2 linked regions of the Tribolium castaneum genome follow. The protein of the gene in region 1 binds, or shares a complex with, the protein of each later gene. Links are inferred from orthologs where the notes say so. Each region holds a gene or a part of one and is shown on either strand. Other genes may lie near its edges. The genes, in order: Suv3 and PNPase.

The links.
Region 2: Suv3 (region 1) and PNPase share a complex: the UniProt entries of both Homo sapiens proteins name them as parts of the mitochondrial degradosome (mtEXO) complex. The link is inferred for Tribolium castaneum from reciprocal best matches to the Homo sapiens genes SUPV3L1 and PNPT1.

What each region holds. Positions count from the first base shown.
Region 1 is NC_087395.1:15,403,351-15,407,181, reverse strand, and holds part of Suv3 (ATP-dependent RNA helicase SUV3 homolog, mitochondrial), read right to left. Parts: intron 3,754-3,831; 5' UTR 3,731-3,753; coding exon 3,436-3,730; intron 3,386-3,435; coding exon 2,994-3,385; intron 2,949-2,993; coding exon 2,837-2,948; intron 2,791-2,836; coding exon 2,569-2,790; intron 1-2,568. UniProt on the Homo sapiens protein: Major helicase player in mitochondrial RNA metabolism. Component of the mitochondrial degradosome (mtEXO) complex, that degrades 3' overhang double-stranded RNA with a 3'-to-5' directionality in an ATP-dependent manner.
Region 2 is NC_087396.1:24,451,996-24,454,795, forward strand, and holds the end of PNPase (polyribonucleotide nucleotidyltransferase 1, mitochondrial), read right to left. Parts: intron 2,366-2,800; coding exon 2,172-2,365; intron 2,126-2,171; coding exon 1,965-2,125; intron 1,612-1,964; coding exon 1,300-1,611; intron 1,252-1,299; coding exon 1,018-1,251; intron 973-1,017; coding exon 847-972; 3' UTR 797-846; downstream 1-796. UniProt on the Homo sapiens protein: RNA-binding protein implicated in numerous RNA metabolic processes. Catalyzes the phosphorolysis of single-stranded polyribonucleotides processively in the 3'-to-5' direction. Mitochondrial intermembrane factor with RNA-processing exoribonulease activity.

The sequences.
Region 1 (3,831 bases):
CACTTTATATACTGCAATTTTCTTTATTTTTGCAGATGATTAAGCCCTTCAATAGGGCCTTCGACTGTAAAAAAATCATGTTCGGACAAGCACCCCTTGGAACTTAATGAATTTCTAAAGATTCTTTAAGATTTCCCGATTTCGCAAACTTTATTTTTTTTCACCCACTTTATATACTGCAATTTTCTTTATTTTTGCAGGAGATTAAGCCCTCGGATAGGGCCTTCAACCGTAAAAAAATCATGTTCGGACAAACACCCCTTGGGACCTTAACGAATTTTTTTAATTTTACAAAGTTTCTCTATTTTGCAGACTTTATTTTTTTCATTCACTTTATATACTGCAATTTTCTTTATTTTTGCAGGAGATTAAGCCCTTCAATAGGGCCTTCGACTGTAAAAAAATCATGTTCGGACAAGCACCCCTTGGAACCTTAATGAATTTTTAAAGATTCTTTAAGATTTTCCGATTTCGCAAACTTTATTTTTTTTTCACCCACTTTATATACTGCGATTTTCTTTATTTTTGCAGGAAATTAAGCCCTCGAATAGGGCCTTCAACCGTAAAAAAATCATGTTCGGACAAACACCCCTTGGGACCTTAACAAATTTTTTTAATTTTTATAAAGTTTCTCTATTTTGCAAACTTTTTTTTTTCACCCACACAGTATATATACTGCAATTTTCTTTATTTTTGTAGGAGATTAAACCCAACGATAGGGCCTTCGACTGTAAAAAAATCATGTTCGGACAAACACCCCTTAAAACCTTAATGAATTTCTAAAAATTCTTTAAGATTTTCCGATTTCGCAAACTTTTTTTTTTTCACCCACTTTATATACTGCGATTTTCTTTATTTTTGCAGGAGATTAAGCCCTCGGATAGGGCCTTCAACCGTAAAAAAATCATATTCGGACAAACACCCCTTGGGACCTTAACAAATTTTTTTAATTTTTATAAAGTTTCTCCATTTTGCAAACTTTTTTTTTTCACCCACACAGTATATATACTGCAATTTTCTTTATTTTTGTAGGAGATTAAACCCAACGATAGGGCCTTCAACTGTAAAAAAATCATGTTCGGACAAGCACCCCTTGGAACCTTAATGAATTTTTAAAGATTCTTTAAGATTTCCCGATTTCGCAAACTTTATTTTTTTTCACCCACTTTATATACTGCGATTTTGTTTATTTTTGCAGAAGATTAAGCCCTTCGATAGGGCCTTCGACTGTAAAAAAATCATGTTCGGACAAGCACCCCTTGAAACCTTAATGAATTTTTAAAGATTCTTCAACGATAGGGCCTTCGACTGTAAAAAAATTATGTTCGGACAAACACCCCTTAGGACCTTAACAATTTTTTTTATTTTTATAAAGTTTCTCTATTTTGCAAAAGTAACCCACTATTGACATACCCTGTAGTGTAATTAAATTCCTACACTTAAAAAATAATTAAAAAAATATACAAAAAATAATTATTTTTCTATAATTATTATTATTATTACAAAAATTATAATTACTAAAATAAAAAATAATTATTTTTCGTTTTATTGACTATAATAATAATAACTGTAACTAGTAGACCTGAATTTTGTGCCAACATTGCTTCTACATTTTCTAAATCTAGCAATTTAAAGCAATTATTCGCCTTTTTTTATTTCCTTCGTGAGTAGGAATAATAAAAACAATAAAGCAGTAAAACACTCACATCCACCTTTATTGTAAATTGTAATAAACATAATTGAAGCAATTCTGAAGTCGCCTTAATTCCCGTTCATTTAGCTTTACGAACAAACTTAAGATTAAGCGCAAGTGTATGTTAATATCCGCAGAAAAAGAAGCAACAAAAATGAATGAAAATAAATAAATAATCTTCCAGCTAAGCCACTGTTTTCCTCAACTAAATTAAAATATACCAAGTATTGCTGGGTTAGTAACAACCAACTTGCGTGCGCCAAATTTCACCAATTTTTCTCGTATATTGTTCAAAAAAATTAGTCAGCGAAATAGCAAAAGTAGCCAACCTCCAAATACCCCATGACAGTATGGTGTTTTCCTCTCTCCATAGGAAGAAACAGGTAGAAATAACGTTCTGTGATGGAATATTTGGAAGGTGCAAAACGATATTTTCAAATGAAGCCGTCGAAAAAATTAAGCTTCTTCTCTCCCTGAGATATTGGGTACTTAATTCATATTTATTATAATTATAAAAAAATAAAGAGGTAATGCTTTCGTATATACTCGTAATAATAAGAATAAGGTAAATTTCATTAACAAATCAATTAAGCTAAGAAATGATAAAAATGTTTTTTATGGAATTTTTTGAAAAGTAAAATTGTTAAAAACCTTAACTATAATCCATATTATTTTATTTCTTTATAATTTGTAATGATAGTGTGATTATAGAGTGAACTACTGAGTACAGACTGTACCAACACTCAGGCCACAGTCTTAGAGAAAAAAATAATTAGAAATAATCTGTGTAATATGGAAATCGTTTTTGATTCACACAAAAAAGCGCTAATTTTTAGAAAAATTTTATAAATGGCTTTTATTTTTAAAGCACTTACCTAGAGCTGTGTCTTCTACTTTTAAATCAGTCAGTCTTTTATAATGCCTCACTTCAATATCCTCATTTGTCGTCAAACACAACTGGCTTATCAAATCAATGGCACCAGCCTCCCCACACAGGTGTATCTCCTCAGCGACCAGCCCCAAAAAGGCCCTAGTCCACGCCCACCCCCTCTGATGATCCCTCACCATCTGAATTTCATCAATAACCGCAACCTCATCTAAAAATTTATTAAACGACCACAAAAAATCAAACCAAATAATTACAAGGTGCAGTTAGCGAAGCCATTTCCACAGTGCAAGAAACATGAGTCGAGGGCTGTCCGGACGAGTCAGCGTATTTCCGTTCTTCGCCCGTTACCAAATCACACGGAGTGCCCTAAAACCCAGCACTCGAATTTATTCAATAAAATTGGACACCTACCCTTGAATTACTTTTTTTGTACACTTCGGCGGCTAGTAGTTTAAGGGGGCCACAGTAAACCCCCGATTTGGCAGTAATGAAACTCTCTAACGCGTGAAATGTCTTGCCCGAGTTAGTGGGGCCCGCATGAAAAATAATTTTGCGGTTCAAAGCCCTGGCCTCGGGGTACCAGTTAGCTGGGGTTCGCAGATCCGAGATTTTTCTTAAATCGTCCATGCATTCCAAATGTGGGAACATTTGCTTGGCGTGGCGTAAAAAATACGGGAAAATATCGGTAATGTTCCCAGCTCCTTGTAAAACATCGCTCACAACAACGTGCAAATCGACAGGTAAAGTCTGCGCTTCGAGACAGTACCGCCGGAAGCTAACGTACGCTTGGTGTTGCAGATAGTCTAGAAAAATTCTTTTTACTTAGACAACTTAAGGTCGGATTGTTACTAACTATCAAGCCCATTTTCCGTAAGTAATTGCTTGATTTCCTTCTTTTGGTAGAACTTATTGAGGACCTTGAGCAAATCGGCTTTGTTTAAATTGCCAGTCAGTTCGGCCCCCACATTTATATCGTCAGGGTTTGGTTTCACAGGCACAGGAATGAACAGGGATGATATGGAACTATCGTTTTTTTTAAACCGTCGTTGCGATAATTTTAAATTATGTCGGGCCAAAAGGTTCCGATTTAACGATAAATTTTGGACCGCGGTACAGAGGGCTCCGAGGCGTCGCCCGTTTTGCAACATGTTGCGTATAAAAGCAAGGTTAACTGAAAAAATTTAAGGTTAGATAACTGTCATCCCTGAAAAATGGTGGTGGCACGATGAAAATTACAGTCGACCAGACA
Region 2 (2,800 bases), on another chromosome or scaffold:
TTTTTTGTTGAATAAAATTTTCCACTTTTTGGTTAAATGGAATCGAACAGGTATCTTAATACACTTTTCAAATCGACTTTTACAAAAATTTACTGTATTTAGATTTTAGAACTAATGTCACACAAAGAAAGAAAAGTGCATTTGAATAGCCTTTAGAGCCCATTATTTACTGAATGCAAAAAAACAAACGCAAAGAATCTCTCGCATGAACTTTTTGATGACCTGTAGAATATAAAAGAGCACTTCAATTCAATTCTCCTGGTAAGTATCAATCGATATAGTTCTTGACTTCTTGAAGTAATGTCGTTTTATACCATTGCGGCAAGTGGCCATATCAACTTGAAGTATTTTATAGTGGCCATTGAAGAGGTGCAAATTATTGTTTCTGTTTATACGACAACTTAACTTTTTTTGTCCAAAGTTTATCACCAAGGTCCAGTTATTACGTGTATTTCGCTCGATTTTTTTAATTACGGATACTAGGACAAAGTTAAAGATAGAATAAGACTCAATAAGTTGGTTTCCTAATCGCTCCTTATCCCATTGCATTGGGAAGGCGAGTAAGACAAAACAAAGCGCTCCACAAAGCAAACGAAGTAAGCCGATAACGACCACACTGGCTGAAAATTACCCAACTCTTTATCGATTAAGTTATTCGCTTTCAACAGTTAGAAGAGAGTTTTCCACTTTCAAATTTTTAGATTTTATTTTCAATTTTTATGAACACAACAAAAAAATATTTTTTTTGTGGATTTTTGTCCGATGTCAGGAATGGCAGTTACGAGGAAAAAAACTCTTTGTAATTTATCGTGTTTTTTATTAAATTCATTAAAAAATACAATTAATTCACTTTGGCGGCGCTTGTAAAACCTTCCTCGAAAGCCTCATCAATCCCGAAACCGGATCCCTTCCAAAATACTTCACTTGTATTTCCTGCCCCACTTCCAAATCGAGCGCCGACGGATGCGCAACCTAAACACAAAAATCAATTAACGTAATTAAATAATAACACCCAACCTTTCGCTGATCCAGCTGCGAATTGTGAAGCAATGCTGGGGGCATCCCCGGATACAACGTAACCATAACTCCTATATCCCTCAATTCCACGATCGTGGCAGTGTAAATCCCCCCAAACTCCAAATCTGGCACTTTTTCCGCAGTCAGGAGTTTATTAATATACTCCTGAGCCTCGTCCATGGCGCTTTGATTCGGCGCGAAAATTTCAAAAGTCGTGTCATCGATTGCACTCACCTGTTAAGTAAACAGCTACCAACAAAAATAACAGAAAAAGAAACAAACCTGGACACCTGTTTCAGCCAAAAGTTTTTTTAAGTTAATGCCACCTACACCAACAAGTTTCGCCCTTTTGTGGGCCTCAACTTTCAACTTTTCGCTCACTGGCCAATTGTCTTTTTTCACAGTTCGGGGTTTATCGATGCATTCGTGCATGATTTGGAGAATTTTTTGTTTAGCTTCGGTTGCTTTCTGTATTGACTCCATTACGATTTTTAGGGGAAGTCCCGGGATTTTTATGTCGGCTTGCAGGGCTGTTATCCCTTTTTTCGTACCAGCGATTTTGAAGTCCATATCGCCCATATAATCTTCTATTCCCTTAAATGCGACATTAAATTGCCGGAATTGCTCAAACAACAAAATTAATTGGCTACACTGACGACAAAAATCATAAAACTTTAAAATTTATAAGTACTACGGATTACTATAGGTAAGGATACGAAATGACGTACAAATAAAACGTCCCCGTTTTCAATAGTTCCGTTAGCGTCGCACAGATGGTGCAGTTTCATTGCACTATTTCGTTTGAGTACGATTTGCTCTCGTTTCGTTTCCTAATCTATAGTCCTCCGTGGTTATTAACCTTAATTACTTAAAGTTAGTAATAAAACCAAGATGTTTTATTTGATTTTGAAAGAGTAATTAAACATCGGTAATTGCAAAACGATTACCAATAAATCAGTCAACAGGCGATAATCCGTGATATTTGCTTTCTCATCGTCATATCGCGTGATTAATCCAATTGCCACCCCTGCAGCGGGCGCAACAATTGGTACACCTGCGTCCATTAAAGCCAAAGTTCCCCCACAGACGCTGGCCATAGAACTTGAGCCTACAATTCAGCTTTCAAATGGAATAAACGCCAAGTGAAAATTTACCATTCGATTCTAAAACTTCCGATGTTAGTCTAATCGTAAATGGAAAATCGTCAGGGATTGAGGGAGTCAAGCCTTTTTCCGCTAAAGCCCCATGCCCTATTTCCCTCCGCCCTATTGGACCAATTCTCCCCGTTTCCTTTGTCGCAAACGGCGGAAATTCGTAGTGGAGAAAAAAATTCTTCTCCTTGACACCGCTACAAAATCAATTATTGAATAATTTTTTATCACGTGAATTGTAATGAACTCATGAATACAATGATTGCGTATTTGTTGAAATTTTGTTCCTGTTCGTGTTCATAGTTCCGATTGCGATTTTATTAATTAATAACTATAAACAACTGTAAAATTTAAATTTGTTTTCGTTTCCGTTGAGGAAATGCATCGAGCGCTAGCTAAAGCCCAAATGAATTAAAAAAATAAATTCCGTTTTACAATCAAGATGCTGGAATGCAGAGGAGCAGGAACACAATCTTGCGAATTAATTAAAGCCTGGGAATGAAATTTACGACTGTCATCACCAAGGGGTTCAAGGTGCAAGAAGTTATGCTTTTATTCAAGAAAACTAATGAACATCTAACGCAGTTTATCTTGTCTAGACTCCGAGCAAAGGGTTTGGAATAATATGAATC